2 linked regions of the Arabidopsis thaliana genome follow. The protein of the gene in region 1 interacts with the protein of each later gene in a pairwise test. Each region holds a gene or a part of one and is shown in the gene's direction. Other genes may lie near its edges.

Region 1 (3,625 bases):
AATGCAATATTGTTTAAAGAGTTTCATTTTATTCCGTAGCCATTTGAACAGCATTCGACATATAAATTTTAAGTTTAGCCAACAATTACCGATTCTTGCCAAAAAAAAAAAAAAAAAAATTACCGCTTTAATGTTTAAAGGACGAAGAAAACGTGTTATTTTAACTTTAAATTATTTTTAAAAGTTTAATAATTATTGTGTATGCATGGAGAAGCAATAAGTTACACCAAGTAACACTTGAGACATATACTTGATTTTTTTCCATTTTCAACGTTATAGGAAAATTGGTGTGAATTAGTATATCCTTGTCTTTTTCATGCCCTGCAACTTGCAGCTGCTTATATAAAGGACTAAGGAAAGGAGGGACACTTTCAAAGCTCATTAGTAATCTAAGACTTTTTCATATTTTCCAAACACTAATTGAAGAAAAACATGCAGGTTCGATTCTTTATATATATTTTCCTAATCTATGTTTCTTAATTGGAAGCTTGTAATAATTTTTCCGAATATTTTTTTATTGCTTATATATCAAATGTCATAATTCTACCCTAATTAGCTCTTTACCATAATTAATATTTTCATGACAGGTAGTTGTACTGAAATTAGATGTTCATTGTGAAAAAACCAAACAAAAAGCTATGTCAACTGTATGTTGTCTCTCAGGTATAAACAACACTCATCAATTGCTAATATATATTTTTTTTACTCATAAGCCTCTAAATTCTCTTAATCAATTGATTAAATCATAATTAAGTACATTTTGATTTTTTTTTGTATTGAAGGATTATTTTTTCTTTTGGTATTGAAGGAGTTAACTCGGTGGAGGTGAAAGATGGTAAACTAACGGTGACGGGAGAGATTGATGCCTATATGATTGTGAAGAAATTGAAGAAGATATGTCATACCGAGTTTATATCGGTTGGACCGGTTAAAGAACCAGAGAAGAAGAAGCCTGATGATCCGAAGAAGCCTGAAACGAAGCCACCAGATGTCATTTATCATTATGTCCCTCCATGTCCACCTTATTACCATAATTTCAACGGATGTTACAATGAAGATCCCAACGCTTGCGTCACCTCTTGAAAACAATATTTTGGTCGGATCAGTTTGGTTCACGATAGTCATCACTCATCAGCTTCGTCGTAGTCTTTGGTTTTGTTCTATTGTGATTGTTTTAACTCTTTCAGTCCAGTCCATTATACACACTCAACATGACTAGACCAAGGTTGCCACTCCCAGGCCCATTTCTTGTTTTAATTCCTTTTTTGTTTTCTTGTTAATAACATGCATTTAAATTTAGATGACGACGCATTAATTGACCATATTTAACACAAATCACTAGGTTATATACGTCTAATTCAAATGATTTTGTTTCATAAAAAATAAAATTAGATATCTAGTGATCTTATAGTAATATATAACAGTAATCTAAGTAGACTGCTCCACAATTATATTTTACTTTATTTAAAAAGAAGAAACTACGTAAGAGGTAAATAAAGTACATCTTTAAAAACAAAATTTATGAATGAAACATTGTGACTTTAATCTCGGTTTGATTTCGATTTCAGCTTTGGTTTTGATATGATTCAACTTTTACCTAGAGAACTTGCTTGAGAAGTTCTTATGACCGAAGAAGTCAATAAGGTCCAACCACAAATCAACGTTGTCCGGGTCGTACACGCGGAATTCTGAAAACTACACTTCCTTTTGTGTTCGTTAGACTCAAATTAATTTTCAACCAAATCATAAAAATAAATATAAAATTGGTAGAGAATGAGTCATTCTGAATGACTACTTTAACCTCTTTGTGGTCGTTATTGCAATACTATTTTTATTTAAAAAATACAAAAACTTTCCCTTGTGGCCTTGTGGGTCATATATAATAATACTTGCAAATTCCTTGGCAATTTCTATTTAAACCGATTTCAGTAGACTTGCTATTGTCATCATTTCATATCTTAGATCATCTCTCTTCTCTCTCTTTCTCTTAAGAATATTGGAAATTTCTGAAGCTTTTCTATAGTTGATCTCGAGCCATGCCTCCAATGGTACGCCTTCTTTTTCCTATGATATCTCTTAAAATAATTATGCGTTGAATAATCGTTTGTATATAAATACTATTTGACTATATATAGTTATGTTAATCAGGTTGAAAATATGTAATTAACCATACTGATCTCTGTTTTGAAATAACAGAAAGCTGTGTTGCAATTGAGCATTCACGAGGAAAGAATCAGGAAGAAAGCGTTTGTCACCGTTTCTCGATGTCCAGGTAACTTTATTAGTTACATTTTTCGAAATTTATAACATGATATATTGTTTGGAAAATGAACTTATATTCATGTTTTTTTCTTTTGTCTAAATAGGTGTTACTTCGATAACAATGGATGACAAAACCGGGAAAATGACAGTAGTTGGTGAAGTTGATGTACCGGTTATCGTGATGAAGCTAAGGAAGCTATGTAACACAGAGCTTGTTTCGGTTGAAGTTGTTAAACCACCTGAGAAAAAGCCTGAACCAGAGAAACCGGCTCCACCTAAACCAGCTCCAGCTCCAGCTAAACCGGCTGAAATTGTTGCCTGGCCGGTTCAGATGAACAACCCTTACCAATACAATCCTGCCTATGCAAATTCTTACTATCAACCATATGGGAACTCTAGATTTGTAACGGACGAATCAAATTGTGTGATTATGTGATAACTTATTTCAAATAATGTGTTAAGTTAGTTTTGATGGAAGAGTGTAATTTTTTAGCTACTGTAATATACATTTCTCATATGAGCTTATTCAGAAAAATTTATGTTACTGTATGATAAATTTGATCTTTATACGTTTTGTTAACTTTAACTTTTAATCATTTAGTAATAGTTGATCTTTTTCCTATACAGAATATTATTCTCTATACTTTGTCTTTTGCTTATATACTAATCAAATGGATACAAAAATATCACACACACACACACATAGTTAAGTCGCTCTCAACTTATTTATGAATATCAAGTACCAAGATCGTTCACGTAATACATTCAATTGTCCAAAACTAAAATAATTTTGAAACAATTAGAGAATGAGATATTAGTAAAGATGTGATGTAGAGAGTCAAGATCTGAAAGTCTCCTTTAGCAAAACAAATACTAATCAATAAAATTCCTACTTGGAGGGATCCACATGTAAACTGAGGCTTTCGAGGACATTTCCTTTCTTGACTATGAAATAGCAGTATTATCCGAGTCTTCTTACCATTTTTCAAATATAAATCGCACATTTACAGATTAAAAAAAAAAAAATTGGATTCATGCATTGAGTTGATTTTGAAATCTAACAAAACTCTTGTGTTACTTTTAAGTCATGACTTCTAAAATTTTAGTTTAAATCATGTGTTATTAAAGTAATCGTTTAAAATACAAATTAAAATTTGTGTTAATCTATTAGTATTTTAAAATTACAAATTAAGAATTATGTTTTTTTTGTCTGCGAATTTTGTTTTCGTTGCGCAACCAAAGAATTGTGGGTAAGAAATGTGTAATACAAGTATGATGCATATAGAATGGCTCGCCATGAAAAAAAGCTGCATAAATGAATTGCTAGGATCATGAATGTTAAGTTGATCAATTATACTGGATA
Region 2 (4,247 bases), on another chromosome or scaffold:
AAGATGTCTTTAAAACAATATTATAGGTTTCTTGTTGTACGAATTGGGAAAAATATATTAGTGTTTTTGTATTCTATATTTTGTTGTTCATGGCTTTTAAATTTGATAGCTGTCTTCAACAAATTGTTCTTTATAATCCTTAGTATTTCTAGATTGCATAATGCAAGTAGTCAATGATAAGTTGTGAGCTTATTGTGATAAATTATTTATGAATTAGATAAGTCGAAGAACAAGTCTAGTTTACTAATTCGGATTGCCACAAACTATGTCTTTTTAAATGAAGTTTTGTACGTAGTAAGGCCTCTTTGATGTTTACTTCAAACCAAGAAACCTTCAAATCCTTAATAGATTATTATCCACACTCAAGCTACATATTGAATGCTAACATCAGATAATCTTTATAAACAAATGGTTTTTTGTCATACTTCAGATTTAAATCGCAAACCCTGAACCTTTCACTGATATAGACAGGTGGTGATGGTCTCTTCAGATGCTATTGCGACTCTCTGATTGAAAATGTGCAGGTAAAATCAAATACTCTGCAATACTAATTAACGCAATTCATATATAAGAGAAGATGATCTCTCCCTTTCATATTATGTTGCTTATTATTTGAAGTTGTTTAGAATTTAGTAATATGTACTTTTTTAGCAAAACATAATATCTTTATTTATATGAATTTGGTGGGAAAAGAAAGAAAGAGACAAATGCTTTTGTCATGCTTGCCACCTTTATCTGTTGAAAAATCTTCTCCACCGCAGACCCAAAAAAATAATATTGTTTTCTTTATCCTTTTTGTTTGCTTCTTATAAGAGATTGTTGTTGTAAGCTCACCAAACATTCAGATTTGAGCTTTCTTCTTATATATCTGTGTAGGGGACCAGAGAATCAAATCACTTTTCAAGTGAATAATACTTTTGATTTCTCCATTTGAACGATTCTGGTTTTTGTTGTAAACCAACAACCATCATGCTCAGTTTCCAAGAAGAATGGATGCTTACAATTGTATCGTCGTGATCTTCTGCATCTCCTTGTTTGCAATCAATTTAGTGTTTTCTTGTTTCACTTGCTTCTCCATTCTTCAGAGCTCCATGAAAGATGAAAACCAGGATTTCAGTGATCTCAGGAAGAATCTTATTGAACCAGAGGAAGCTAAACCAGATGAGAAGGTAATGATCATTACAGTCTCTAGTAACCAAGAATTATCTGACTCCACTGATGATGATGATGGTGGCCAAGATTGCTCTCATGAGGATATTTGTGCTTGTTGAAACAAAGGTTGGCTTCTATTTCCATTACACAATTCTCCTCTTGCTTTTGCAATTTTGTCTTATGATCATTCCTACTTGTAAATGGTTAAATCCATAGATCGAGAGTATCCATCTTATGCGGAATCCAGATTTTTGTTTTTGTTTCATGTGTATCATATGAAAGAAATTATACAGTCTGCAAAAAGCATATGTAAATTGAATGGTGGTGGTGCACAAATTTGTGGAAAGTTCAAAGTTATATTGTTTAATTTGTGGTGCATATATTTCTTGATTAAGTTTAATTTTCAAGGTTTACGTTTCTTTGGAGGCTGAGAATTAAAGGCTGCCTCTACTTAGCGTGAAAGAAGAAGAGAAAAAAATTCCACTCAAAGAAAGTAATAAAAAGTTTAACAACGATGTTGTTAGTTGACAAAAGTGACAATTAAAAAACTTGAAATAGATATTTAAAATTAAAAACAAGGACAACGAAATGCTTATAGTGACAGACTACTGATAAAATTCTCTGTTCTGTATTATAGTTTCCATTGCCTAATTGTATAAAAATGATTGAAGATGATAAATCATATTCATGGATGATAAAGAACATTAGTTAATTTCATAATCATTTCCAAGAACTCGAAGCTTCGACGGATGCATTTAATATTTATTATACCCTAACCACATGTTTCTTCATAAATTATATTTTCAAAACTTTCTTATTAGTATGAATAGCAATCGTATTAATGTCAAACATTGCAGTCGGTTTGTAAAAGCATATAATAATAACTCCGGGCCAATTTTCGGAAATACGCGTTATCTGGGGTCTGACAGCAAATAATTAAAAGTGTTTTAACCAAAAAAAAAAAAAAAAGAGACTTCTTCTTCAAATTGATTCAACGCTTCAATCTCGATTGAATCAGAAAGAGCGATCAGATCACGGAGAAAGAGATGGGTCACGGAGAAGAAGATAAAAGCAAAGGATTTGCTTCGGAAGAAGGTAACCAGCATCATCAATACGGTACCTTTCAAGGTGTTTCCAATTACCCTCCGCCGCAGAATTCTGCTCCGGTCACTGGGTTTCCTCAACCTTCTGCGCCACCTGGCGTTTACGATTCTGGAGCTCCTTATTACGCTCATGGATATCAAACTGTTCCAGGTAGCTTCACTTCCTGTATTGGATATTCTGATTTCATATTTTAGCAGATTTGGGAATTTAGGTTGAACTGTTGTAAAATTAATAGTGATCATTCATTGTCTTCATAAGATTCTAATTTGATTACGGGATCGTGTTTGTTTAGCTATAGAAACAAGTTTTGGGGTTGTTCTTTGTTTTAATCAAAATGTTATAACAAGCTTTGATGAGAATTATAAAGTTTGGAGAGCTTTGATTACTTCTAGGAACAGCTCAGTTAATTAGTTAGGTTGTATTGGTTTGTGCTATGGAAAATTTGTAAGGCTTATGTAGTGTCTCATTTTCTCTTCTTCTTCTTGTTCAAATCCAAGTCAAGAGCATAAATAGATGTGTGTTCAACCGTTCTTATGTTTACTCTTTCTTGATTGTTGTATTTTTCAGTCCATGGTGGTGTTGCTGAAGGAAGACCTGTCAGACAACGTCGCCTTCCTTGCTGTGGAATTGGTCTTGGATGGTTCCTGTAAGTTCATTTCTACTTCAAACACGAGCTTAGTATTTTCTGAATCTCCCTCTCTCTTCACATGCCTGAGAAAATATTTGGTCTTGTGGAAGGTTCATTGTTGGATTTTTCCTTGGAGCAATCCCTTGGTATGTCGGATTGTTCATCATGATGTTTGGAAGGAGAATCGATTACAGGGAGAAACCAGGATACATTGCCTGCACTATCGCTGTAATATTTCTTCTACTCTCTGTCCTTATCTTCTCTCGTTTTTCCTTATATCCCATTGGACTCCCGACAAATTAAATTAAATTGATTCATGTCTAAACGTTGCAGGCTATTCTAGCAACAATCGCTGTGATTCTGGGTGTATCTAAAGGAGCAGACGACTGGTGATGGATCAATCATCTTGTGGGGTTACTCTAAAAATGTTTGTATAGGTTTCTTTATCGTGTGTTGTATTATCTACTTCCTTTTTTACTTACTCTATGAAGAAACAAGAAAAAAAAAAGTGTAAACTTCACAAGAATTATTTGAGTTTTGTTATCTAAATAAGAAGAAGTCAAAGATATGAAATTTAAGACAGAGAGACAAAATGTGATGAGATTGAAGATGGTTTTTACATCAGGAAACTTACAAAATGAAATGAAACTATCTTTTTGCAGAAACAGTTGTATTGTTGTGCATCCTCAATAAGTCATCAGGGGTTACAAGAAACCAACCGCCATCTTTCTGAGCCAACAGCTTCTGGTTCACTGAGTCTATAATGACACTCACATTCCCAAACCCATATATCTGAAGACCATTGTGCATTCTATTCGGTTTAGGTTTGAACAGCAACTCCTGCTCTTGCGCAAATACTTCCAAGACTTCTTTCAAACTCAACACTTCAGTGCTATCCATCTGAGCCTTGGCCTGAGCTTGAGCCTGAGCCGGCACGGACTGTGTACGCTCATTTGCCTTTGCTCTTGGCTGAGACACTTCAACTCCTTCAACAGCTTCCATCAACATATCTAAACCACGCTTTAACTGAATTCGGATCCTCTCATTTGCTGTAAGCTCTTGCGGGAATAACTCTTTCCAACCATAATACCATCCCTGGATCTCTTCGAACCTTGGTTTAGCACGCAACCAATGGTACAACACATCCAGCCATTTGGGGAAGAAGAACCTCTCCATCATATCAGCCATTAGATGTATGGGTACTGCAGATGCCCACTTCATAACCCAATCAAACCGTTCTAAATTCTGGTTTGCCGGGTTTACCTGAAACTCTTGCAAAGCCAGCTGAAGTTTCGGAACTATGTAACGTCGCATAAGCTGTTCCCAGCTTGTAGTATCAAAAACGGTCTTCCATGGTGAAAGA

Evidence for each region.
Region 2: the proteins of AT5G52750 (region 1) and AT1G17080 interact in a two-hybrid assay, tested with the Arabidopsis thaliana proteins (one large-scale study listed by BioGRID).

Annotation. Positions count from the first base shown.
Region 1 is NC_003076.8:21,382,098-21,385,722, forward strand, and holds AT5G52750 (Heavy metal transport/detoxification superfamily protein), read left to right. Parts: upstream 1-1,919; 5' UTR 1,920-2,036; coding exon 2,037-2,048; exon of another isoform or gene 2,049-2,196; coding exon 2,197-2,272; intron 2,273-2,366; coding exon 2,367-2,698; 3' UTR 2,699-2,918; downstream 2,919-3,625. Other genes in the region: AT5G52740 (Copper transport protein family), read left to right, coding at 433-438, 588-663, 809-1,083. UniProt on the Arabidopsis thaliana protein: Probable heavy-metal-binding protein.
Region 2 is NC_003070.9:5,839,488-5,843,734, reverse strand, and holds AT1G17080 (Ribosomal protein L18ae family), read left to right. Parts: upstream 1-1,989; 5' UTR 1,990-2,198; coding exon 2,199-2,406; intron 2,407-2,823; coding exon 2,824-2,902; intron 2,903-2,994; coding exon 2,995-3,112; intron 3,113-3,217; coding exon 3,218-3,277; 3' UTR 3,278-3,466; downstream 3,467-4,247. Other genes in the region: AT1G17090 (uncharacterized protein), read left to right, coding at 990-1,271; STIPL1 (GC-rich sequence DNA-binding factor-like protein with Tuftelin interacting domain-containing protein), read right to left, coding at 3,533-4,247.